7 linked regions of the Rattus norvegicus genome follow. The protein of the gene in region 3 interacts with the protein of the main gene of each other region in a biochemical or structural test. Links are inferred from orthologs where the notes say so. Each region holds a gene or a part of one and is shown on either strand. Other genes may lie near its edges.

The links.
Region 1: the proteins of Crebbp (region 3) and Smad3 form a complex in vitro, tested with the Homo sapiens proteins (3 studies listed by BioGRID, with this or other methods). The link is inferred for Rattus norvegicus from reciprocal best matches to the Homo sapiens genes CREBBP and SMAD3.
Region 2: the proteins of Crebbp (region 3) and Klf1 form a complex in vitro, tested with the Homo sapiens proteins (2 studies listed by BioGRID and IntAct, with this or other methods). The link is inferred for Rattus norvegicus from reciprocal best matches to the Homo sapiens genes CREBBP and KLF1.
Region 4: the proteins of Crebbp (region 3) and Kat2b form a complex in vitro, tested with the Homo sapiens proteins (4 studies listed by BioGRID). The link is inferred for Rattus norvegicus from reciprocal best matches to the Homo sapiens genes CREBBP and KAT2B.
Region 5: the proteins of Crebbp (region 3) and Creb1 form a complex in vitro, tested with the Homo sapiens proteins (15 studies listed by BioGRID, with this or other methods). The link is inferred for Rattus norvegicus from reciprocal best matches to the Homo sapiens genes CREBBP and CREB1.
Region 6: the proteins of Crebbp (region 3) and Sumo1 form a complex in vitro, tested with the Homo sapiens proteins (2 studies listed by BioGRID, with this or other methods). The link is inferred for Rattus norvegicus from reciprocal best matches to the Homo sapiens genes CREBBP and SUMO1.
Region 7: the proteins of Crebbp (region 3) and Hif1a form a complex in vitro, tested with the Homo sapiens proteins (6 studies listed by BioGRID and IntAct, with this or other methods). The link is inferred for Rattus norvegicus from reciprocal best matches to the Homo sapiens genes CREBBP and HIF1A.

Annotation. Positions count from the first base shown.
Region 1 is NC_086026.1:73,129,525-73,133,540, reverse strand, and holds the start of Smad3 (mothers against decapentaplegic homolog 3), read left to right. Parts: upstream 1-1,216; 5' UTR 1,217-1,418; coding exon 1,419-1,624; intron 1,625-4,016. UniProt on the Homo sapiens protein: Receptor-regulated SMAD (R-SMAD) that is an intracellular signal transducer and transcriptional modulator activated by TGF-beta (transforming growth factor) and activin type 1 receptor kinases.
Region 2 is NC_086037.1:40,155,852-40,160,079, reverse strand, and holds the start of Klf1 (Krueppel-like factor 1), read left to right. Parts: upstream 1-1,428; 5' UTR 1,429-1,475; coding exon 1,476-1,616; intron 1,617-2,200; coding exon 2,201-3,014; intron 3,015-4,073; coding exon of another isoform or gene 4,074-4,088; coding exon 4,089-4,228. UniProt on the Homo sapiens protein: Transcription regulator of erythrocyte development that probably serves as a general switch factor during erythropoiesis. Is a dual regulator of fetal-to-adult globin switching.
Region 3 is NC_086028.1:11,932,840-11,936,339, reverse strand, and holds part of Crebbp (histone lysine acetyltransferase CREBBP), read right to left. Parts: intron 3,408-3,500; coding exon 3,219-3,407; intron 1,768-3,218; coding exon 1,354-1,767; intron 262-1,353; coding exon 82-261; intron 1-81. UniProt on the Homo sapiens protein: Acetylates histones, giving a specific tag for transcriptional activation. Mediates acetylation of histone H3 at 'Lys-18' and 'Lys-27' (H3K18ac and H3K27ac, respectively).
Region 4 is NC_086027.1:6,879,145-6,882,644, reverse strand, and holds part of Kat2b (histone acetyltransferase KAT2B), read right to left. Parts: intron 3,244-3,500; coding exon 3,107-3,243; intron 1-3,106. UniProt on the Homo sapiens protein: Functions as a histone acetyltransferase (HAT) to promote transcriptional activation. Has significant histone acetyltransferase activity with core histones (H3 and H4), and also with nucleosome core particles.
Region 5 is NC_086027.1:73,432,228-73,435,727, forward strand, and holds part of Creb1 (cyclic AMP-responsive element-binding protein 1), read left to right. Parts: exon of another isoform or gene 1-614; coding exon 615-757; exon of another isoform or gene 758-3,500.
Region 6 is NC_086027.1:68,600,004-68,604,187, forward strand, and holds the start of Sumo1 (small ubiquitin-related modifier 1), read right to left. Parts: upstream 2,801-4,184; 5' UTR 2,760-2,800; coding exon 2,748-2,759; intron 1-2,747. UniProt on the Homo sapiens protein: Ubiquitin-like protein that can be covalently attached to proteins as a monomer or a lysine-linked polymer.
Region 7 is NC_086024.1:98,397,898-98,401,397, forward strand, and holds part of Hif1a (hypoxia-inducible factor 1-alpha), read left to right. Parts: coding exon 1-93; intron 94-678; coding exon 679-962; intron 963-1,910; coding exon 1,911-2,033; intron 2,034-2,140; coding exon 2,141-2,574; intron 2,575-3,500.

The sequences.
Region 1 (4,016 bases), on a different chromosome or scaffold from region 3:
CTCAAATCAGTAGAGGGACCGGTGGGTAACCAGCCCTGCATTCGCCCAGTCTGCGGTAAAGCCCTAGAGCTACCCCAAGTCAGGTTCTCTTGGCTTCCCACCTAGGCTAACTTTGAATAAACTTCCTAAGTCCTCCAGGCTTGCTCTATACTTTGTGTGTGTGCTCGCGCGCGCGAGTTCACTGATTTGTAAACAAAAGCTCTCTTACTTGTTTGGTGTTGAATTTCGGATCTTCAGTAACACCCTGTAATGTTAATTCTCCCCCTCCCCCAAAGAAAAATCCTAAAGCGCCCGCATTCATTCCTTCAGGAACGCAACAGATGTCTTTGAGGCTCCTTTTCTGTAAAGAGCTTGGTTCACTGGTCCCAAAGGACCCCTGGCTCCAGCTATTGTTCAAGTTGTCACTGAGGTCTCGTAACTCCCCTTTTAAGTCTCCCTCTCCCGTTTTCCAACTCCCTCCTCAGTAGTCTCAGGCAGTCAGCCGTTCTGATCTCACCCAGCAGGAAAACAAAAACAAAACAAAAAACACCTAAAGCAGCCCCGGCCACTGAGCGAGATCAGCGCGCCTCAACTTCCTGGGCCCCGAGCTTTTTCTGAACCCCTCGCCGCGCCCGGGTCCTCTCCCAGGTGCAGCCAGCCCTTGGCGGACCGTGCCTGTTCCCTGCGAGTCTAATCCTCTCTAGTCCTTGCAACTACATCTGAACGTCTTGGGGGCAGCGAGTCCCCAGGAGTCGGGTCCCGCGGCACTTGGCAGAGCTGACGGCCGCCGTGCCCGGTGGCCCACGTGGGCGCGCTTGGCGGAGCTGGGCGGGGAAGGCCGCGGGTCCTCCCCGGAGCAGGGCGCGGGGGAGGAGCGGGGAGCCCCGGCAGCGAGGGGGCGGCGACTGCGTTGGGAAGGAGGCTGCACGCGGAGCTGCGTGAAACGTAGACTTGGGAGCGGGCGGGAGAGGAGCGGGGAGCACGGCTGCACGGCCCTGGCCGGTCCTGCAAGGCGGCGATCGCAGGGGGAGGAGCAGCAGCGCTGCAGAGGCGGAGGGATCTGCGCACCAAAGCCATCCAGGCCAGCAAAGTTTGGCTGGGGGTTGGACTTTCCTTCTCGGAGGCGGCACCCAAACAGCTACCCCGTGCGGAAACCCAAACTTTCTACTGGCACTCGGAGTCTCGCGGCCGCCGCCTCCGCCCCGCGCGTCCCGGGCCTGTCCGTCAGTCCGTCGGTCCGCGTGGAGCCGCTCGGGCGCCGCCGTGTTCCGGATCCCCGCAACTGCAGTGCCGCTATCCTGGCCGGGACGCCTGGGCAAGTTCTCCAGAGTTAAAAGCGAAGTTCGGGCGCGGCGCAGGCCGAGCTGCCTCTGTGCGCCCCCGGCGTCCCCAGTGCGTCCAGCCCCGCCGGGGGCGCCGGTGACCCTTCCGTGCCAGCCATGTCGTCCATCCTGCCCTTCACCCCCCCGATCGTGAAGCGCCTGCTGGGCTGGAAGAAGGGCGAGCAGAACGGGCAGGAGGAGAAGTGGTGCGAGAAGGCGGTCAAGAGCTTGGTGAAGAAGCTCAAGAAGACGGGGCAGTTGGACGAGCTGGAGAAGGCCATCACCACGCAGAACGTGAACACCAAGTGCATTACCATCCCCAGGTGGGGTCCCAGAGCGGCGAGGGGTGGGGGGACGCGCCGGCCCAGCCCCCTAGCGCGGCCCGGTTGGATAAGGAGGGAGGGTGGGAGGGTGTGTGTGTGTGTGTGTGTGTGTGTGTGTGTGTGTGTGTGTGTGTGTGTGTGTTGGATAAGGAGGGAGGGTGGGAGGGTGTGTGTGTGTGTGTGTGTGTGTGTGTGTGTGTGTGTGTGTGTGTGTATGTGTGTGTGTTCGCGCGCGCCTGTAGGGGACGGAGAGTGGGTGGAGGGACCCCAAACAAAACCTTCGGATTTGTCCAGGCTCAGAGCCCAGGCTTCCGTGCGGCATTTTGGCTTCTAGACCTTAACGATCGCCAGCTGCCTCTGGGCAGCGGGGATGCTTCTGAGCTTGGCCCCCTAACTCTCGGGGCTTCGGGCTCCAAGTGGAGGCCCCGCTTTGTTCGGCTCTGCCGGCCGAGCCCCTCCTCCTCCGCCGCCTCCCGCCCCGGGCTCCTGGAGGTGGTGGCGTGTGTCCCTTTCTTTTCTTCAGCTCTGTTCCCCCATTTCTTTTCCTCGTCTACAGGAATGCAGTCGGTACAGCTGTGGGTGAGGAGCGGGAGCCCGTTGATTGACAGATTCCTTCTTCGCTCTTTCTTTGCCTTGGGATTAGCATTTTTACTGAGTATTTTTAGATTTGGTTGTGCCAGCCTCCCGCCCCCTGTGCACGCATGCACGCACGCACTTAGTTAGAGAGCAGAGCACCGACTTTGAAGCGGGAGAAACAAGTGGCAGAAAGTAGGGGCTTTCCCTCTTCCCACCCCACCCCTGCTGGTTTGCGATCTTTTAAATCCAGGGTATTCTGGTGCCTAGAATCGAGCAGGCAGCTCCAGGCAGATAACAAAACACCCTAGGGCTGGCCTCCCATCGGCCCTGCATTCCTGTAGAGCCTCTTTTCCCAAAGCGCTTTGCCATCTGTCCTGACCTCCTTTATCCTTCCCATCGGGCTAGAGGAGTCGGGCGGGAGCTCACAGATGGCTGATGGAAGGGGTCAGTGACTTCGCTCCCAAGGCCTTCTAGAGCATAGTCGCGTCTGGGCAATGGGGTGAGAGCACTTTAGTCTTCTGGTTTTGTTTTGTTTTTTCCTTCTCAGACACCTTTAAAGACTGATTCCAGATGAGGGGCAGGTGGGAATGTTTGGGGACGTCCCTGGCTGCAGAGGGATGGGGGGAGGGCTCCCAGGACCTACACTAGTAGAGGTCATCACTGTTCTGGGTCCTGGTAGCTTCCATCCTTGGCCACCTGCTCAAGGCAGCTGTGTATGGGCTGCCAGCCCTGATAGTAAGGCACAAAACAATGTCTGTCCACAGGGACCTAGGGTTGGCCTTCCTTGGAAATAAACACCACATATGGTGGGAATGCCGACTTAAAAAAAAAAAAAGAAACCAAACAAAAATAAAAGTCTTATCAACTCCAAACCTGAGTGGGTGGATCCTACTGAAGAGGGAAGGCTGTGTGTTGTCTGCTCGGCCTCTGAGCCTCTGCCAGCCGGCTTCAGGGGACCTGGTGTGATGTGGTGGTTTTCTCCGGTTTCCCCTTCTCCTTTATCGTTTCGATGGAGCAGGATGGTTGAGTTTCATAGGGCTCTGTCAGATCTGGAGACGCAGCCTTTTCCCAATCTGCCTGGGTGCACCCAGCCCAAGCGCTTTCTGTTCTGAGCCCTCCTCCAGAGCTATCAACTACGAAGCTGCAGAGTGTTTCACAATTTACAAGGCACGAACGTGCCTGGAGGACAACAGAACCGGGACACAGAAAAGGCACGGAGGTCTAGAACGATCTTGCTTTCAAAGTGACAGAACTTAGAGAGGCAAAGCATTCGACTAGATCTGGCGTACCCTTTCTCCCAGGTTGTTTTGTCCGGGGTGGGTAGTAGATCTCTTCTGCCTGCAAGGCTCTTGGTTAATCTTTGGGCTGGGGGCAGCTTGGAGGAGAGGCTGTGCCTTCCTCACCGGCAGGTAAAAGTTAGTGTGGTACTGAGAGTTCAGGCTAATGCCTGTGCTCCCAGCCTCCTAGGACTGGGTACCTTCAGCCTGGGCCTAGGAGGCCAGGTAAGGAAGCGGGGTGTTCATTCGTTGGCTCTTTGGCTGCAACCGATGACCGAACCCAGGGCTTCCTGCATGTTAGGCAAGCCCTCTGCTGCTGACCTACCCTCCCAGGCCTGGGATTCTTTTCTTTCATCTTTTCTCAACTAGTGAGACCCAGTTGCTTGGGTGGATCCAGACAAAGGTGGATTTCCATCCCTGGATTTTGTGCCCACGCCTCTGGGTCACCCTGTCTCCCTTGGCAACAGCTGCTGCTGTTTTGGCCATGGGCAGAAAGCTAAAGGCCACGTCTTGGGGAGGCGACTAGTTGGCTTCCTGCT
Region 2 (4,228 bases), on a different chromosome or scaffold from region 3:
ATTTATTTATTTATATATAAGTACATTGTAGCTGTCTTCAGACACACCAGAAGAGGGCGTGAGATCTCATTAAAGATGGTTGTGAACCACCATGTGGTTGCTGGGAATTGAACGCAGGTCCTCTGGAAGAACAGTCAGTGCTCTTAACCACTGAGTCATCTCTCCAGCCCCAGAACCGTTTACTCTTGTTGTCTTTTGAGACAGAGACCATGTAGCTCTGGCTGTCCTGGAACTTATGTAGACTAGACAGGTCTCTCAAATTCACAGAGATCTACCAGTCTCTGCCTGCCAAGTGCTGGGATTGAAGGCATTTACTACCACGCCTGACTAGGTACCATTTCCTATAATGGATCCGACGTCCCCTATGGACACTGAGGAACGATGGTGTATGTGCGATCACATTACGGTACACATGACCCTCTGTTTCCCTACCCTGACTCACGTGGCACCAGAATAGAAGTATGGAAATAGCGGACTACCTTCCATGGGGGCCACAAACAACAAGTAGTTAGGTAGTCAGGGTTGAGCTCTCCTGAGGGGCATACCTACTATGGCTCCATCTATGGGTCCTATCCCACCACACTGTAGGATTCGTAGCCCTCCCCTTCAGTTCCCCTGTAGTAGCCACCAAGGGTCCTCAGTGTCCAAGGGTGGACTGATTTGGGAGGTCTCCTTTTGCTAAACAGCTCAGACCCCCAACACAACGCAGGCACTTCAAAGCCAAGATAATTTGTGGCACCAACCCCCAGCTCTTCCGCTGAAGGAGGAACAGGGCTATGTTGTTCTGGGCCCCCTACCTGATAGCAGCCTGAAACATCTGGTGTGTCTGATAATGCCCAAAAGAGAGCTGGTGCCAAGGCCCGCCATTAGCACTGTTGCTGCTGTTTGTCTGAGAGGGAAAGGGCTGCAGTGGCCCTGATGGGGATCAAAGGGTCCCAAAGAACTTTCCCAAGAAATCTATCCTTCCTGGTCTACTCCTTCTCCAAGGAGAGAGACTTGAGACCAGATCAGAGTCCTCTCAGTCCTCTGGGGGTGGGAGTAGGGGACCAGGACTTTTCTTTACCCTTCATCTGAACCCCAAGACTTTGAAGCCCCTATTCTTTGACATCTGACTTGTTTTATACACAGGGTTGGTTTTCAGGGACCAGTTCCCAAACAGGCCAAGGTGAGGTCTGCTCCTTGAAAGTGACAAGCCACAACTTTAATCCCAGCACTCAGGAAACAAAGGCAGGTAGATCTTGGTGAATTCGAGGCCAGTCTGGCCTACATAAGTCAGTCCAGGACAGCCTGGGCTCCATTACACAGAGGAACCCTGTTTCAAAAAACCTTTTTTTAAAAAAAAAAGACACACGGCACACTCATATCACACACACCCTCCTTCGCCTTTTGCCTTGCCAGAGTCTTATCAGAGAAGACAGCCAATCAGATGTGGGCAGACAGGAGCCCTCCAAGGAACCTTCCTAGCCTCATAGCCCATGAGGCAGAAGAGAGAGAGGAGGCCTGAGGCCCAGGGTGGACAGCAGCCAGTCATGGCCTCAGCTGAGACTGTCTTACCCTCCATCAGTACACTCACCACCCTGGGACAGTTCCTGGACACCCAGGAGGACTTCCTCAAGGTGGGGCCAGTGGGGGAGGGGGCACAGGTGGTCTTGCTGAGGCAGTGCTTGGGGGTGGGGCTTATATCTTACTTTATTATCCTCTGCAGGGTTTTTTGGGGGAGGTGGGGGAGTCTGAGCCTGGCTTGGGAGAGGTGTTGCAGGGATCTGATATCAAGGTGAGGCCTATTTCTCGAATAGGAAGGGGAATTCTGAGTTCTGTATCTTAAGAGTCTAGGCTCAAAGAGACAAAGGCCCAGATAAAAGTGTCCTGGGATTTCTAGGCTTTGAGATTTATTTTTGTTGGGCCACGTGAAGATAGGGAAAGGCTAGGGAAAACGGAGGAGTCAAAACTGATTCCTTTGACTCAGAACTCTAGAACCCCTTCTCCCATCCTGAATGCTGTTCTTGGTAAGTGTCTTATCTGTCTCTAGCAAGACCTCATGGAGTTGCCGGGAGCTGAGAAGGGGGTTAGGGGAACAGTGTGGGTAAATGATAGGCACGCAAACCCTCAACCAACCTGCCCCAACGATGTTTCCAGCCGGGGTTGCTTCAGGGCCAGGTACCCAGTGCCTACCATTCAAGCAGTGCGCTCCCTCCCGCAGTGGTGGCGGTCTGAGGAGACACAGGATTTGGGCCCGGGACCCCCGAATCCCACGGAACCGTCCTTTCACGTGAGTCTGAAATCAGAGGACCCTCCCGGAGAGGACGATGAGAGGGACGTGACCTGTGCGTGGGATCCGGATCTTTTCCTTACAAACTTTTCAGGTCCCGAGCCGCCCAGCACTCCCCGGACCTGTGCCCTGGCACCCAGCGGGGGCCCAGTGGCACAGTTCGCGCCGCCCGAGTCTCTGAGCGCTTATGCGGGTGGCCCAGGGTTGGTGACCGGGCCTTTGGGCTCCGAGGAGCACGCAGGCTGGGCGCACCCGACTCCGAGACCCCCAACCCCTGAGCCCTTCGTGGCCCCTGTCCTGGCCCCGGGACTCGCTCCCAAGGCGCAGCCCGCATTCTCCGAATCGCGAGCGGTCTCGGCCGGAGGTTTCTTCCCGCGAGCGGGGCTTGCGGTGCCCGCAGCTCCAAGCGCCCCCTATGGGCTGCTGTCGGGATACCCCGCGCTCTACCCGGCGCCTCAGTACCAAGGCCATTTCCAGCTCTTTCGTGGGCTCGCGGCGCCTTCTGCTGGTCCCACTGCGCCCCCTTCCTTTTTGAATTGTCTGGGACCTGGTGCGGTGGGCACAGAACTCGGGGCCACTGCGATCGCCGGAGACGCAGGCTTGTCCCCAGGAGCTGCGCCGCCCAAACGCAGCCGGCGAACTCTGGCACAAAAGAGGCAGGCGGCACACACCTGCGGGCACGAAGGATGCGGGAAGAGCTACACCAAGAGCTCGCACCTGAAGGCGCACCTGCGCACGCACACCGGTAAGGACAGGGCTGGGCCGGAGGGGGCGGGATCTGGAACCGGAAACGGAGCAAAGGGAGGGGCCGGAGGGTGGCCAGAGGCGTGGCTAAAGGAGGCCCCGGCGCTAGGGGTCGTGAAGACCGCACACCTCCCCTCCCCCAGACACTGGGTCAAGTCTACAAGGGGCCATTCCAGACCCAAATGGGAGAATCCCAGCACGCAGGAGGCAGAAGCAGGTGGAGATCAGTGACTTCCAGCCCATTTGGGCTATTATAGCGAGTTTCAGCAGCCTGAGCTACTTAGTGAGATCCTGTCTCATAAATAAGTAGATGTAGACAGAAGGCCTGGGGAACATTTTGGAGGCTTCAGTGTTACAAGCGGATGTGTAAGGCCTAGGTTAGAGATGGGAGAAGAGCAGAATGGAAAATGAATGGCACATAAGGAGAAACTAGAGGGGTAAACCCTGGAGGGTACAAGCTTAGAATGTCAGAGCTCAGGATATAGCTAGTCATGCTCGAGCTGGAACTGTATGGGATCAGGAGGTTGAGACATTTAAGTAGAATCAGTTTCAGGGGCAACTGATGGAGGTACCAGAGATAAGGCAGGCCACAAGAAAAGAAGGAAATGCTGGGAGACAGAGCCTAGAAAGAGAAACGGGGTCATCCCAGGATTGGACGACAGTTACAGGTCTCCCAAGCATGGCAAGACTTGCATCAGGTATAAAACCAGAAGAGAGGGATTCACTAGAAATAGGGCCTTAGACCCTGGGGTGGATTTCAGGGCTTGGATCAAGTTCAGGAACATGATTGGATATCATCGGCAGACCCTGTCAGTGCAAGAAATAGCTGGAAAAAGAAAACTGAATGATGATGCATCTACATACGGTCTCAGGCAGGGAACTAGTACATAGGAAATGGGATAGAAGACCAGAAATGAGAAAACTAAAGGACAGCAGCTGTAGATACAGAAACGGATCATGTCACAGAAGGCAGGACTGTGTGCCCTTTAAACTGTGAGATGTCACCTAAGACTTGGCTCCACTTCATCAAGTGCGCAAACTTGGAGGGTGTTACTTACAGCTCCCTGTCCTTCAGGAGAGAAGCCTTATGCCTGCTCCTGGGATGGCTGCAACTGGAGGTTCGCTCGCTCTGACGAACTGACGCGCCACTACCGGAAGCACACTGGACATCGCCCCTTCTGCTGTGGCCTCTGCCCACGTGCTTTCTCACGCTCC
Region 3 (3,500 bases):
AACACCATCCTAGGTCCTGAGGACATACGGTAAAGCTGCCACACACAGCCATGCACTAAGGCTGAGGGAGGGAGCATCTACCTCAGAGCGGGGTTCCCCCTTGGATTCAGCAGGATCAGGTTCAGCATCATCTGTCTGCACCTCTGTCTTCATTTCCAGCATGGGCACATCAGGTCCTGGCTGCTGGGAACTGGTTTCAGCACTGGTCACAGAGGAGGGAGTAGGGACTCTATTATCAATGCTGGCTGCTGCCTGAGAAAGCTGCAAAGAAATCAAAATCATTCACCTCTGTAAAGCAGATAACACAAATGTTCCTCCAACTCTTGTACCTCCAAGCTCAGTCTTCTGTTTAGTATTTCTCCTTACAACCTAAGTACTTAGTATGACCACTAAAGGGCAGAAGTACTTTTCTAAGTTATAGTCTCTCTGCTTTCTGACTGGATTATTTTACCATTATTTTCTTCACTAACATTCCTACTTATGGAGAAAGGCAAACCCTTAAGTATTTACAGGGAGGTTGGGGACTAATGGCCTATATGAAGCATGTCTCACAGGACAGTGATGGCAGTGGAGTAAGCAAACACCCCACTCCATTACAGGCTTTACCCTATGAAGCACTACAGAAACTAATAAAGAAAGATAAAGCTCTGGTAAGAGGTAAGAGTAAGCACACGCCCTTATGGAGAAACCAACAGTAATGTCATCTTTCCAACTGTTGCATGATTAATTTTGTCATTCTACAAATAGCTTAAATATCTAAGAATTAATACAAACCCGGGAGGAGGGGATCTGTTGTTTCATTATGAATAAAAAAAGGCATGTATTCTCAAACAAGGTTGATTAGCCAAGACCTTTATAGTTTGGAGCATAGCATGTCTACTAAACCCACAAAAGCACAAAAGCAGTCAAACCTGGACGGTAATTACTCTAGAACAGAAAACAGGTAAAATAATGGTAGTGCATACAGTTCAATGTGTGACATACCGAGGACTATTGATTTCTATAAACCACTTTAACCAAGGCAAACTATAAGCCATACCTTTAGGGACAATAGAGGAACAATTCAGTTTACTGCAATTTCAGACACACACACACACACACACACACACACACACACACACACTCTCTCTCTCTCTCTCTCTCTCTCTCTCTCTCTCTCTCTCTCTCTCTCTCACTTTTTGGCACCAGAGCAATTTGCTATAGCATCCCAACAGACAGAATAGTCCTTTTTTTAAAAGATGGCATCTTACTTTTCTAGCTAGATATGCCTGCTTGTGCACGAGTGCTCGACACATCATTCTTATGGTAAGGTGCCCTGTATGAGTTTAGCTTGATAATGACGAAGAGGCTCACCGGTGTGCCAGGAGGCTGAGTATGCACAGGCGTTGGTTGCTGCTGTGATGACTGAGGAGTGGCCACAGATGGTGGCTGCACTGGAGTCTGAGGCTGTGGGGTCACCTGAGCCTGTGCTGCTGCCTGCACTGTTGGGGTGCTCTGTGTTTGGGCAGCACTGGGCACTGAGCCAGGAGTTGGGGTAGGAGTCTGCCCAGATGACACAGGAGTGGATGGCTGAGTGGGAGCTGCTGGCTGGGGAGGGGTCATCCCTGGTGGTGTCGGATGCTGGAGAGAGGGCATGCCAGCAGCTGTGGAAGCAGGAGGTGGAGTCGGGTGCAAAGGTGACTGTGTCACTGGTGGGCAAGGAAGCTGGCTGGTCTGGGGCGCCAGCATGTTCAGAGGGTTAGGAAGTGTACCTCCAGGCACCTGGCCCTAAAAGAAATAATAAGAATATGTAAAACTTACTTTACCCAATTGAAACCATAAGGGACTTACGGAAAAAAAAATTAGAAAAATGTAATTCTAGTTTCTTAATTAGTTCTGGTAGTTTCATGAGGATAGTACATTTGCAAAACTTCAGACTAACCATTTATAGCATGCACCACACCATGTAATAATAAGCACTAAAATGCTTCTATACTCTGATTTGTATAACGTCAATATCTGATTACAATATTCATGGCTTAGACACATTTACTTAGTTTACCGACTTCATGTTTTGTAACATCTACTTAGACAACAGAAAAAGGGCTTTTTTTTTTTTTTAAAATAAGTTGAGATACTAGAACACTGGGGAGACCCCTGACTTAAAAAAAAAAAAAAAAGAGAGAGAGAGAGAGAGAGAGAGAATCAAAATTACCATTCCAGAGACAAGTTTGGCCTAGGGACTTTGGTCCAGTTCTACAGGATGACAACAACAACCAGATTACAAGTTACATGGTGTGTGTAACTACTTATACACTTTGAGAGCAGAGTTAAACAGTTAAGACTAGGACTATGGCCCTGAGAACCAGCTGTTGAACAGAAAAGGTTTACTGCTGGTCATTGTGGCATATGGCTAAGATACAAAGAGTGTAGCCTGGGCTACGTAACATGGAGAGACTCTGGAAAGAGAAGAAAGTTGGTTTCCTGATCTCTGTTCTGAAGAAATGAGATAGAGAAAATTAATCATTACTGAGCAAGCCTAACATATTCAACAACTCATTCAGCATTAGCTAAATTCTTAAAAGGACACAATTTTTTTTTATTTTGAGAAAAGATTTAGCCTACTTTGTATGCAGCTGACATTTGATATACTACAGTTAACCAAAGTGGGAGAAAGCAGTAAAATGGGTGGGAAAGTCGGCTGTAACTAAATAACTGAGGCATGCTCAGGAGAAGAGTGCTACTCCAATGAGTCTGCTAGCCTTGACCCCCAACACACATAGTCAGAGAGACAGACAGACAGACAGACGCGCGCGCGCGCACACACACACACACACACACACACACACACACACACACACTGAAATCCAAGAAACCAAGTCACTAAAAGAGGATCCACCCTTCAAGTTCTAGTACTTCTCAGGATGCCGTTAATCTTAGATTTCTAAAACACACAAACAGCAACCAAAATCCAAAGATAAAAAATATAAAGAAAATAAAACAAATGAACAAACAAAAACAAAAGACCAACCAACCAACCAAAAACCCCACAACCACAACCCATTTTACTTTTGTGTGAAGTTCACCTAGAAGGATTGAGAATTAAAAATTACGGAGCAAAATGGGAAATGGAGATATATACTCTAGAATTCTAGTTCCCATAAAATAAGACAGGAACCTGTCAACAGAGGCTGAGGCTACGTAAATACTAGCTGACCAGGCTCCCACACTGAATGTACCTGTGAAACACCTGCCTGGGTTGCGGGCTGCCCCATGCCTACACTGTTCACACTCATTGCCCCACTGGATGATGGAAACTGGTTCTGTGGCAGAAACTGGTTCTGAGTAGGTGCCTGGGCCATAATGTTGTTGGCATGGGTGCCCATCATATTGGGAGGCTGAGGCATCCGGGAAGGAGAAATGGCCATCTATAAGACAAGAATCAGAAGTGTTAGGCTGGAGTCTTCAAGAGATAACGCAGTGCTATGGAGATCCAAAGCCTTACAAATAAAGTATACTTT
Region 4 (3,500 bases), on a different chromosome or scaffold from region 3:
ACCCGAGTGTGGGTCCTACAGAAAACACACTGGGAGCTCACAACTGCCTGTAACTCCAGGCCAGAGTATCTGACATCCTTTCCTGGCCTCTTTGGGCACCTGCATTTGCACATATACATAATCCCACACAGAGAGACACATATGCACATAATGTAAACAATAAAATAAAATATTTTAGCTATTTTTAATGACATGGTCTCTCTCAACAACTCAGCTGCTGTTGTAGCATACAAGCAGACATAGCCACACTAGTATAGAACACTTGGCATGATTTTCCAACTTTAAGGAGGGTAGAAGAGCTGGAGAAAAGGCTCAGCAGTTCACAATGCCTGCTGTCCTACAGGGACCCAAGCTTGTTTTCAAGCACCCATACTGGGAGGCTCACAAGTGCCTACAGCTCCAGCCAGCCAATGCCCCTTTCTGACTTCTGTGGGCAGCCACACATATATGGCATATACTCAGACATATGTCATAAGTAAACAAAAATACATGTAAAAATTCTGAATTGGGAGATCAGTGGCTTAGCAGGTAAGGGTGCATGACACGAAACCTGACAACCTAAGTTCAATGCCTGGACAAAGACCATCCCTTCATACTGGCCTCTCTAAGCTCCGTATTCACACCATGGCATGGTGTCTCCACAGGTGCATGAACACACATACACACAGGCACATTAAGTAAGTCGGTGTTCATTTTAAGGAGAGAACCAATACGATGGAGTATCAGGCGAAGGTGTTCACTGCACAAAACTGATGACTTCAGTTTGAGGCCCAGAATCCACAACTAAAGGAGAGAACTGACTACTGAAAGTTGTCCCCTAGCCTCTATACAAGAGTGACTCACTCACACAACATAATAACAACATAAAAGCAATGAAAATAAAAAATAATAATAATTAATTAAATATCATTAAGACAACAGGTTCTAAACTCTTGAAACGCACCATAAAACAGCAGTCATTTGGGGCTGGGGATTTAGCTCAGTGGTAGAGCGCTTGCCTAGCAAGCGTAAGGCCCTGGGTTCGGTCCCCAGCTCCGGAAAAAAAAAAAAGCAGTCATTTTTATATTCTCAGCACCTCTTTTTTGGAAGATACTTTTCTTTCTAGAAGTATCTATTGATCCAGACTTAACTCACAGCAGGCTGCATGGCCTAGAGCCAGCACCTCATGCTTTAATTCACCTTATGCTGGGCGAGGAAGTCTTTGGCAAACAGCTGTGCTGGGCAGAAAAGTCCTAACTATAGCACTATCTTTGAGGGCTTTGGCTGGTCGTCCAGGTTACTGGGTATCAACCACTGTGGTAGGCATTTCAAGCATCCAAGGCATTTAACAACTAGCTTACAAAAATGTCTACATCGTTAGTGGCTTTCTTGGGCATACTAGTACTCTACTAACTGCAACAAGGATTGTGAAATGGGTGACTGCCTCCCCACTTTCCTCTGAGCAGGCCATGCTCTGCTCATGTGTGAAGCTATGAAATCCCTAAAGCCTACACACAGGAGGAGGTCAGCATTTGCCCCCCACAGACTGGAAGGAAAGAACTTTATGAGATGGTTCTGTTGCAACAATCAATTCTCCAAATTATCCTTGGCACTAATAAAAGAGCCACGAAGACAGCGCAGTATGAAACTTACTAATTTAATCTATCAGAGCCACACCCAAAAGACAGACGCTGTGTATACACTAGTACTCAGGCTATGTCTTCATTTCCTGGAAATGTCTTAAGCCTCCCTGTTCCTGGATGTCTTGCAATGAGACAAGAGCAATACTTTTAACTAAGATATTTTACCTGGATTGATCTAAACTGTCACACAGATCCAGACAGAGACATTATGAATAACTCGCTAACGAGGCCCCTCAACAAAGGCAACATTGTAAGAGAAGAGGAAAGGCTTTGAGTTAAAGGAGACTAAGGAGCCTGGGATATGGCTCACAGGTCAGATGCTTGCTGGGATGTGGCAATCCCTGGATGTGATCCCCGGCACCTCATGAACCTAGCAGTGTGGTTCAAGGTCATTAATCCTGGCTATACAGTGAGTCCAAGATCAGCCTCGACCACATGAGACCAGCCAAAAAAAAAAAAAAAAAAAAAAAGAAGAAGAAGAAAGAAAGAAAGAAAAAGAAAGGGAGGGAAGAAAGGGAGGGAAGGAAGGACGGAAGGAAGGAAACAAAGAAACAAAGAAAGGACCAGAGAAAGAAGATAAAAAGATGAAGAAATGAAAACTGAATGCCATACTTGGTTCTTAACTGGGTCTCCAACAATAATGCATGTTATGAATAGCATGAATTGGTAAGATGGTCATTAGACACAGGGGTTGAAAATTAGGCCACAAGTCAGCAAACTTTCCAGTGAAGTCAAGAGATAAACATTTTGTTTTGCAAGACACACATGCCATAAGAGCTATTACAAGCCCAATCTGCTGGGACACACCTTTCCTCCCAGCCAGTTAGAAGCTGACACAGAATTACTTGAGCCCATAAGTTGAATAGCAGCTATGACTGGTAGGCTGCAGTCTGCCAACCCTAAGCCAGAGAACCTTATAATGAAGTTAAATTCCCTGAGTGCTAGCTCAGGTGATTATCTAAGAGAATTGCTTTAGTACAAGACACAAGCAAATGCACGAGGTATGAGGTATTATTACATCTGTTTGGAGCTGTGAAATGATTCTAAAGGGTTCACAGGAGAGGAGAAAGGAGGTAAAGAAAGGGAAATGGGAGGTGACCCCTGATAAATCTGCAGGCTCAACACACTCTGTGGGGTTTGGGTGTTTTTTTTGGGGGGGGGGGGGGGGCTTTTGTTTTTGGTTTTGATTCTTGGGTTTTTGTTGTAGTTGTTGTTGTTGTTTGGTTACTTTTTTTTTTTTTTCATTGCTGAGGGAGGCTTGAAATTCTCCAATGTGGAAAAGTTTCCAACTACTTGAAACTGTAGTTTGTGGCCCCATAACTGATATTCATCGAAGGGAACCACATCTTAGTTAGCCATTCCTGCCCTCCCTACAGTGATCGATCTCCAGGTTACAGGTGACCAGCAGTGTGTTCTCAGTACCCCACCCTCAGCTCTGACAGCTCTTACGGCAGGGCGACCAGAAGGCCCTCCCAGCTGCTGACCTCTGGTCCAAGCATCCCTGCAGGGTCTGTGATGGTAGACATAACTTCACTGATCAGTTCCACAGGAATATCCCCCATCACTCGAGATCGCTTGGCCTCCTCTGGAGCATGAGAGTTGTTCATTTTCCTCTTTTCTCCTGTGATGTTCAAAATAAAAGGCAAAAGAAAAAAAAAAGGATGGTTTGAAATGGAAAATACATACTGATGAATCTAACTTATTTGGGAGGAGACATGGAGTGAGACAAGGTCTTGCCATGTATCCCTGGCTATTCCAGGAGGAGAAAGGGTGGTAGTGAAGGTTGAGAAGGGAGACTGCCCATTCCAGGTCTATCTTAAAGATTGCCTATTTTCTAAGATGACTTTCAACTTGGCATATGAGTTATTAAAGCATGTT
Region 5 (3,500 bases), on a different chromosome or scaffold from region 3:
ATTGTGATTTTCCTGAGATTCATAATAAGACACCTTCTTAAAAACCAAAATAAGCCAGGTGGTGGCGATGCATGCCTTTAATCTTGGCACTTAGGAAGCAGAGGTAGGCAGATCTCTTGAGTTTGTGGCCAGCCTGATCTAAATAGAGTGACAGGGTGAGTTTCAAGATACCAGGACCACACAGAGAAACCCTGTCTCGGGGACACACACACACACACACACACACACACACACACACGGCTTGGAGTGGGTAGAGGGAGATGGGTCTTCTAAAAGATTCAAATTCAATCCCCAGGACACATACAGCATCTCACAGCCATCTGTAACTCTAGTCATACGATATACAGTGTCCTCCTTTGGATTCTGCAGGCACTAAACATGTACAAATAAAACACCCTAGCGCATAAGATAAAAAAAAACAAAACATATGTAGTTTTATTTATTATCCACCACCACCACCCCCATTACCATCACGCAATTCTTGCATTTAAAGTTCCTACTTTGTTTGGAGTTTATTCATGTGTTTGAATTTTTGTCCTATACATTAGCAGTTTCTAATCTTAATTTGTACTTAGTGACTTTTTTTTAATTAAAATAGCTCCTTATTTTTCTAGGAAAATTTTGAATGACTTATCTTCTGATGCACCAGGGGTGCCAAGGATTGAAGAAGAAAAATCAGAAGAAGAGACTTCAGCCCCTGCCATCACCACTGTAACAGTGCCAACCCCGATTTACCAAACTAGCAGTGGGCAGTATAGTGAGTAATACGTTTTTCTATTATGAAAAGTGAGAAGGAAAACTGTTAGGTTCTCTTTAAGGAAATGATAAATGCCAAAGCTTTTGCTGGCAATATTGTTTGCCCTACTGTCAGACATTATTGAAGAATTGTTAAAAGGCATTTATGGGAATGTCACTCTCTTTTTTCTTTTACCCATTCCTGCCTTCCACCATGTTTCTTACATGATTCACACACAAATTACTATTTTTAATTTTAGCATGGTGTTGGCTTGCCAGCCTGTAATTTGTATTCCAGCTGTATTTAAAGTGGATTCCTAAAGCAAAATTTTTAGTTTTTCCAACACGGAAACTTTTGGTATTATTTATAAAGAAGGGTAATTTTTTAATATTTGCTAGTTTTATTTATGAGTGTGTGTGTGCCTGCATGGGTTTATATGCATCACATGTGTGCAGCAGTTCTGGGAAGCCTTTGGATCAGATCCTGTGGAGATAGAGTGACAGACAATTGTGAGCCACCTAATGTGGGTGCCAAGAACCAAGCCTAAGTCCTCTACAAGAGGATTAAGCGTTCTTAACCACTAGGTCATCTGTCTGAACACTAGGGGTGGTGTTCTTGATAAATTGTCTTTACTGTCTGTGATAACTGAGCTAAATAAACTTAGATGGACTTTTTTCCTTAAACTATTGGTAGCTGTAAAGGGGTACATCTTCCCCACCCTGGCCTGGCTCTGTGTCTGTATGTGTGTGTTTACATAGCTTCATACCCAGATTATTTTAAGTGTTCAAGATGGTTCTTCTCTGATATTGTACAAGACTTCTCCTCCAGCATGAACACACGGAGGGTATAACCTATCCCTGTCCTAATTCACTACTTAGGGAGTTTCGCTTGAATTAGGAAAGAAAGACACACAGGAGCTGATGAGGAGGATGAATGGATTGCCTACCATTCCCTTAGATGCTTCAGTTTAAACGTACTAGTACTTTGAGTTTTCTTAAAGCTTTATTCACCTTATATACCATCCTTTTGTACATGCATGTGTGCCTTTGATGAAAGTGATTTAGCATTATGTTCTTGACTTTTCTTTTCCACTAAGAAACAAAGTACTGAATACTCACATGTATGGCAAACTGCTTATTTTGTAACTTGTTTATTTAAAAAAAAATTTTTTTGTTTTATGTGTATGAGTGCTTTGCTTGCATTGTATATCAACAGCACATGTATGTGGTGCCTGTAAAGGTTAGAAGAGAGCATTGGATCCCCTGAAACTGAAGTTACAGGTGGCTGTTAGCCACCACGTGGGTGCTGGGAATTGAATTTGGGTCTTTTGGAAGAGTAGTCAGTGCTCTTAACCTCTTAAGTCATCTCTGCAGTCCTGTGTAAACCTCTTTCTCATTCTTTCCTACTTGTATTCATCCCTCCTTTTTCATTCTGCTTTTTTCCAAAAGCTGTCCTTTACAGAATCTCAGCTATTACAATTTAATTGTATTTAGATTATTTAAGTTAAAATTTAACATAATTATATTTCTTTGTTCATATTTCTTGGTAGCAATTTAATTATACCTAGAGATAATGAATTTATTTTAATGAATTTGGTTTTGTCAGAACTATCTTATACTTTTAAAGTAATCAAGTGTACAAATAAATATTACACAGTTAAAAATGTTTAAATCTTAGATGAGACTTTTATTTTCAAAGAATTGTCGTGTGTGTGTGTGTGTGAGACCTTACTGTTTAAAACAACTATATCTGTTACATAAGAGCAGATGTTTTTAGATTTCCAGGAAAAATAACAAAATCAAATGATCTTAACAGAGTAGCCCATATCTTTTCCTTCCATTCACTTTGAGGTTGTTGCTGTGTAATCAAGAAAAAGTAGAATGTTAATTAAATACACTTGAATTTGCAAATTAACTCCAGGAGAAATGAAGATTTGATTTTGATAACCTTATGATTCTTTAAAAGTCCTTGTTCCCCGACCCTCTTCGTGTATTTTTATTTTATGTGTATGGATGTTTTTGTGCACCAGATGTGTGCAGTACCAGCAAAGGCCAGAAGAGGGTGTCCTGTCCCCTAGAACTAGTTGCTCATGGCTGTGAGCCTCCCTGTTGATGCTGGGAATAGAACCTAAGTTCTCTGAGAGAGCAGCCCTATCTCCAGACCTTTCCAAGTAATCTTACAAAGTTAATCGTAGAATAATTCATAGACATTTTTTAACATCTAAGATAGTAAAATCTGGAATTAGCTAACATAGCATTATATATGCTAGTATGTTAATTTCCACAAATTTATCACCTTGATAAAGTGACTAATAGTCATGAACTCATAGCTCTTGATTGAACAGTGAATTATCCATTTTCTGTGCGCATACCACTCAGGATAGTATAATTACCCAGAGGTCACCGATAATCCTAAATTAATTTACTTCTGTTATACAATAACTTAATTAGGTACATTGGTACCACATTTTTTTTTTAACTTTCCTTTTAATGCAATTATAATCCATTATGAAGAGCTGGGAACAAACCTCAGTTGACAGGGTGTATTCCTACCATGTGTGAAGGTTTGATTCTCAGCACTTGCCCATCATATGCGCGTGCACACCAACACACACACACACACACACACACACACACAATTTATGAAATTGCTCAGGTAAAATTATAATTTTTAGGTTTTTTTTTTTTTTTGAAAACTTGATCCTTGGATTTATCTGAGGAGTCAATCATATTTTTCAGTTCCAGTATCCAAAGATCATGTATTT
Region 6 (4,184 bases), on a different chromosome or scaffold from region 3:
TATAGAATGATCCTCATTCTTTGGGAAATCATGTACCAATGATGGGACCTATAGTACCTTCTTTTTAAAAAAACTGCATAATTCAGTGAATTCTCAAGGTTTAGGCATTAGATTGTGATCTATTTTAGATATAAAGATCCACTCATTTTAAACTGAAATTATGGCAAGACACAGTGGCATACACATACACCTGTAATCCCAGGACTCAGGAAAGTAAAAACAGAAGGATCACTGCCAGCCTAGATACACAGTGAGAGCATCTCAAAACAAAGAGAAAAGCTGAAACTATTACTCAATGTGACTATTTTAAGCACAAGATACAAGCTTCTAAGAGTTGCCTCAGAAAATAAAATGTGCATGGGTACTGGAGGGCATCTTGTATTCAAGTCAAGCACATTATCGAACCCCCCAACTTGAAAAAGTACCCTCTAAGGCCACCTTCTGAAGACAGCTCAGTCTCAGGCTGTTGCTATTACACACAGTACTTGGGGATTCCTACTCTCACTTATAAACCTCTTACAGGCAAGGATTCACTTAACCGTTTTCTCCAAATCTTTAACACTCAATACTGAACTTGTTCTGGGAACTAAGATTAATGTTATCCATCAGCCTAAAGCAACAGCTCCCAAATCCATTATCACACTCTCAATGATTTAAAAACCTATCAACCCAGCTGTCGTGGTGGTATACACTCTGGGAGGCAGAGGCAAGGCAAGGAAAATCTGAGGCCAATCTGATCTACATAGCAAGTTCCAGGACAACTAAGGCTACACAGAGAAACCCTTGACTTGAACTAAATAAACCCCTAAAATGTTAGATACATTTTTATTACTTTTTTTAAAGACAAAAATTTTAAGAGTAGCAGCACTATTTCCTATGCAAATTGCTTTAATGTGTAGCTCAATTTAAAAAAAAAGACTTGTTTTGCCAACTGTGGTGGTAGACATCTTTAATCCCAGCACTCAGGAAACAGACACAGGAGAAACTGAGTTCCAGGCCAGGAAAAGCTACATAGTTAAGACCCTGCCTCAAAAAAAAAGATTTGTTCTACTTTTTTGTCATGTTTCTAAAATTTTCATTGAACATCCATGATAGAATGAGAAACACACACACACACACACACACACACACACACACCAAGTGTGGCAGCATAACTCTGTAATCCCAGCTACTCTGCAAGGCTGAGGGAGTCCAAGTTCAAAGACAAGTGTGTTACAGTCCAACCTAGACAACTTAATGAAATGAAGTAAAAGGAGAAATGAGGGTTTAGTGCCTGCCTGGCAAGCACATGTGGGAGGCCCTAGGTCCAGCACCCAAAGACCCCAAGTGAGGTGAGAGAGTCCTAAGCAAGCATAGAGTGACTTTGCAGACTCCCTGAAACCTTGTGTCCTAGGGTCCTCTTTTCTTTCTTCATATCCTCACATAATGTAAGTTCAAACTAGAGCAAAACTAATCCTAAAACTTAAAACTCTTTCTGTATGTTGCCCTCTCATCTGGCTAACATGCTTTAAAAATAGAAGTCTGATGAAGCATAAGCGTTTACACAGCTGATCTCTCCTCTCTGGTAACTAAGTAAACAACTGTCATAAACAAATTATGGGCTTCATAAAGTCATTTCTAGCCCAAAAGATTAATAATCCAGATTATTAATAAGTAAATCCATCCCACAACTAATTTACAGTGTAGATAGGCTATAAAAATAGAACCACTATGGCCAGTCTGGGGTGGTTGCAAGCCTTTCATCCTCAGGAAACAGACAGGCGGATCTCTATAAACTGGAGGCCAGCCTCGTCTACAGAGGGAGTTCCAGGACAACCAGGCTACACAGAAAACCAACGTCTCAAAAAAAAAAAAAAAAAAAAAACCAACAAAAAAAATTTTAAAAAAGCTCAACTACAATGTAAAGTAGAATGAAAAAAGTTTGCTGAATTGTAACTAAAGAAGTAAAAATTAAAAAAAAAAAAAATACTCTGAAAATTAAGTCATCTGACCAAACAAAAGGAAAGCCAGACAAAAACCGTATGGATGGCATGTTGGTGGTGGCACTCTACGCAGTTTGTTGTTTCTCGGTTATTCTGAGCGCTCCTACAACTGGAGAGTTGATGGACCAATCCCGAGTAAGAAATGGAAAGTACAGAGAAAGAGTCGACCGCTCCGCACCCCCGGATGGAAAAATGACTCTGAAGTGGGCAAAGACGGACTGACCCTCCAGGCAAACACAACTGAAAAGCAGCGTCTCCTGGGTTCCCAGTCACCCCAAACAAGGATCCCTGCCCGCCCCCCACTCTCCGGGACCAAGAACCCAAAGTAGAATCGAGCTGCTTTTCAGGGCCACCTAGCCTCCCAGGCAGGGATTCTCTCCCGTTACATAACTGGGCCTAGGGCCTTGTTTCTGCCATCGGTCCTCTGAAAGGGAAACGGTCGTTTTCCCCCAGGTTGCTCTCACGGACAAGGGAGCGGGCCTGGGCCCCCAGCGAGCCCGAGAGAAACCTGGGAGCAGTCGAAAGAGACCCGGCGCTGGATGGCGTGGGGGTAGAGGCCTCCGAAAGGGCCGCGGAGGGTGCGTAAAACCCGGAGACCCTCGATCCCAGGCGGCTCGGCCCGACTCTGCCAGGCGCTCGGCGTCCCTCGCGGCCCCCTCCCCACCGGCAGCCCCCTCCCCCAACATCACCCCCTCCCCCCGCGCCCCATTCCAGGGGCTCAGCCAGCAGCCGACGGCCCTGAGCCCCAAGGCCGTGGCCCGGTACCTGGTCAGACATGGTGTCGGTGGATTCACCCGGGGGTCTCCGCACCACAGCGGCCTCCGGCAGGCAGAACCGCACTCTGAGGTTTACAAATCCGTCTCTTCTCCACAGCACAACACCGCGGCTGCAGGGACTTCCGCTACGTCTTGCGTCACTTCCGCAGCGCGCAGAGGAGAGTTTGGGAAGACGGGAAAGGGAAGCGGGAAAACGCCTTAGGGAATGCGGGAGATGAAATCGTCAAGGTTAAGCTACTTTCCTGGAGCAAGAGAACCGCTAGGTCTTCAGCGGGGCCGGGAAAACCGGCCCGCTGCCTCAGGCCTTAGGGAGACCAGCGCTTTGCCTGCAGGCTGTGTGTGTTTGGGGTCAAACTGACCGCTTAGGCTCCTCCCTGTTGGACATCTTGTACGCTTCTGAGGCCGGAACCAACTCTTCCTGAATATAGTGAATTCCCTGTATAATATCTTTATGGCCCCCTCTTGCTTGCTGCTGCCACATTCATGACTTTGATTACTAGAAATACAATAGTAACAAGTTTTCATTTTCTACAAGAGAGAAAGTGAAAGCGATTTGGAAGCCACTAGCATGTCAGAGTGAATGAAGTTAACCACAACGAGCTGAGTTATGGTGGCGTACTCCGAGTGATAGAGGCAAGCAGATCTCTGTGAGTTTGAGGCCATCTTGGTCTACAAAGTGAGTTCCGGGACAGCCAAGGCTACATGGAAGAACCCTGTGGGAGTCTAGGGGTGGGGCATGAAGAAACAACCCTTCCGGTCACATCTTTGGTTTTGTTTTGTGTTTTGAGGCAGGGTCTCACTAAGTAGCTCTGGCTATTATAGAACATTGCTAAGTCAACCAGACTGGCCTCCTCTTGCCTCTGCCTCCCCAGTGCTGAGATTAAAGACCTGGGCCACCACATCTCCAGCTCTAGAACAAAGTCTTGGTGGCTATAGATGACCAAAATGCTATTGAAAGTTGAAGTTGCAAGAGCTCCCTCCAGCTCATAAACTAGTTGCCTTACATCATAGACCTAAACATCTTCCTTTGAATACAGTGACCCTCTTGCACAAACATTCAGGGAAGATTAAGGTTATACTAAGTAAAGGGGGGAAAAATGAAAACTAAAGTAAGTCAAAAACCTTCACAGTACAAGACATTAATAAAATAATCTTTTCTGTAATTAGTAATGAGCCGATTATAAGTGGCCCAGCAATCAAAGAGCATTGGCTACTCTTCCAGAGGACTCAGGTTTGATTCCCAGCACCCGTATATGCATTCAAAAATGCCTATAACTCTAGTCCCAGAGAATCTGATATGTTTTTCAGCACTGCACCAGGCCTAAATGTGGTTCATAGACACACATTCGGACAGAAACACTCATAAAAATTAAAAAATTATTAACAATTACTAATGAAAATATGAACATTCACATCAAAAGAAGGA
Region 7 (3,500 bases), on a different chromosome or scaffold from region 3:
TCTTCGACAAGCTTAAGAAAGAGCCCGATGCCCTGACTCTGCTAGCTCCAGCGGCTGGGGACACGATCATATCACTGGACTTCGGCAGCGATGGCAAGTGCTTAGTTACGCTGTCCACCTCTTCCATTGTGTCTGCTGGTTCAGTGGCACTCTGTCTCCTCTCTTGGCTTAACCCTTTGAATGATGCTTACGTGTTCTGTTTTAAATAGTCTCCTCAAAATATTCTGTTTAATATTTGTTTCTGAAATATCATCGCCTTCTCACTTTTATTTTTATGTTCTTTTGAGAATTGTAGCTCAGAGTATCCTGAAGGAATTTCTTGATGCCCCCTTAATTTCCTCCCAGCCACCTCACTGCACCATTCAGTCCAGTTAAATGCAGCACGTGCAGCTGGGTAAATGCTAAAGGGTTTAACAAAGCAGCTGTAGCACAAAAGCAAACGTGAAAATGGAAACTATTACTTCAAATCAGGCATATAGAAAGGTTGAAGGTACATGTCTTACTCCTATCAGTGGTGGACTGAAAAGATAACTTATACTTAATGGTCACACTGTAATACCTATAAACTTTCCAAGTAAAGAAATATCTTCTACATATTTATATATCTTCTAGAAAGCAGAAAATATCATTTTGTTAAAATCCTGATGTTCTTCACACTGATGAACATTTCCTCTGCAGACACGGAAACTGAAGACCAACAACTTGAAGATGTCCCGTTGTACAATGATGTAATGTTCCCCTCTTCTAATGAGAAATTAAATATAAATCTGGCAATGTCTCCATTACCTGCCTCTGAAACTCCAAAGCCACTTCGAAGTAGTGCTGATCCTGCACTGAATCAAGAGGTTGCATTGAAGTTAGAGTCAAGCCCAGAGTCACTGGGACTTTCTTTTACCATGCCCCAGATTCAAGATCAGCCAGCAAGTCCTTCTGATGGAAGCACTAGACAAAGCTCACCTGAGGTTGGTACCATAGAAAAGGTCAGGGATAAATGCCCGACACTGATAGAACCCAAAACTCCTCAGAGGCGGTTTTTAATATCTAGGTTGGACCAGAGCAGAAAGTTCATAAACAGCTGCTTCCAAATTCAAAACAATTCCATTTCAGAGCTTTCCCCTGGTCACACTGTGCTTGAGAGCAGAACAGCTTAGTTGGTTAGTGAGACACAAATAAGCACTGGTTCTCCATTAAACTCTTGTGGGTGAAAACTCTAGGAGTAAGTTAAACAACATGGTATCTCAGACCCAAGGTCGAGAAGGTATTCTTTGCCCAGATGCTTTATCTAGCACAGAAGTGTGTGATTCATTTTGTCCTTGATCTAATAAATAAATGTAATGGAAAATGAAGAAAAGTAAAGTTTTATGCTCAGTCTACCCACCTACCATATTCATTATTGAAATTCTTGTCTATAACTCATAACATAGCAGAGTATCCTCTAAAATATCCAGTAGAATAGGCATTTGGAGATGATGGTGAAAATATCTCTAATTAATTGGATAATTATGTACCGTTGTGGGATCTGAATTATTTGGTGAATGTTATTTTGTAGAATAAACACATCTGGGATGGGGATAGACAACATTTTTTGCCTGGTTGTATTTTGGTTCTATTTTATTTTATTTTATTATATTTTTGAGACAGGGTTTTGCTATGAAATATCTTCTACATATTTCCCTTTTTGGCCTGGAACTCACTTTGTAGACCAGGCTAGCCTCAAACTTACAGATTCTTCTGCCTGTGCCTCTTGAGTGAGTGCTGGGATTAGAGATATGCACCACCACATCAACTAAACAAGTCTTTTAACTGTAATTTTTAGTTAGATAAAACTTTATATAATATTCGTGTATCTAAAACTTCTTAACAAACAGAAATCTTCAGGAAAAAGTAAACACTCCTAACTCTTTTCACAGCCTAACAGTCCCAGTGAGTACTGCTTTGATGTGGACAGCGATATGGTCAATGTATTCAAGTTGGAACTGGTGGAAAAACTGTTTGCTGAAGACACAGAAGCGAAGAATCCATTTTCAGCTCAGGTGCGTCTGTGACCTTGCTTGTTCCATACTGTAAGGGACTGGGTTGAACTTGTTTCTCTTTTACAAGACTGGCCATTATAAAAACTCTTGTATTTATTGTTTGAAAGGACACTGATTTAGACTTGGAAATGCTGGCTCCCTATATCCCAATGGATGATGATTTCCAGTTACGTTCCTTTGATCAGTTGTCACCATTAGAGAGCAATTCTCCAAGCCCTCCGAGTGTGAGCACAGTTACAGGATTCCAGCAGACCCAGTTACAGAAACCTACCATCACTGTCACTGCCGCAACTGCCACCACCGCCACCACCACTGATGAATCAAAAGCAGTGACGAAGGACAATATAGAAGACATTAAAATACTGATTGCATCTCCACCTTCTACCCAAGTACCTCAAGAAATGACCACTGCTAAGGCATCAGCATACAGTGGTACTCACAGTCGGACAACCTCACCAGACAGAGCAGGAAAGAGAGTCATAGAAAAAACAGACAAAGCTCATCCAAGGAGCCTTAACCTATCTGTCACTTTGAATCAAAGGTATTTATATGGAACATAGTTCTGCCGTGTTCTGATATATCTGTGATGTTAAGTGGTTTCTAAATGTAGAGACAACTTTCTGGAAAGGAAAATCATAAAGTTCATTTCATACACTCACTGTCTGAATTAAAACAGACACTCAAAAGCCAGTTTCTAAGTTACATTCTAACTTTTCTCTCTCAAACAATCCTATCAACTGTCTAAATGTAGGTCAGAGGGATGTCTTCCAAAGTCTCTAAAGATCAAGTCCAACCAGTAAGTTCTATAAATGCGAGGCATCTCTTCATGCTGCTGTTCAGAATGGGAAATAGCTGTCTCCCTGCTTAGATCCCTCTAACCTGGGACTTTTGAAGCCAACGTTTAAAAAAAAAAAAAAAAAAAAAAAACCTTCAGCTCCATGGTTCCTTTTTAATCAGACTGGTCTTCAGTTCTCATTGGTAAATGTGGATATTTGCAGACCTCCTTTCTGAAATCTTGTGTATAACTGCAAGAAGTCTTAAACTTATTATTATTCTTCATTACATAGTTTGTTATTATAAAGAAAATAAGCCTTTATTAGATCTACCAAGAGTCCTAGCATGACTTACAATATCATTTCTATAGAATGAAGCAATGCTGGAGCAAATATTTAAAATTTCTGTATATAATATGTAATGGTATTTGACATGTTTTAAATTTGAGGCAAGGAAAATACTTTTCACTAATTAGTGAGTGGAAGAAAAATGACTTCTGCATTATGTCTAGACAGAGCGAGCTGTGGCTGTTAGCAGAAGGAAGGACTCTGCTGTGACTACAGGGAGCTGTGTTCCCCTGTATCACCTGAAGCATTAGGACAGGCCTCCCTTTTTCTTGAGCCAGAAAAAAAGGTGTGGGGCTTTAGGTGAATTCAGTATTTGCAGTTGGGTATAGTAATGTATGCCTTTCTT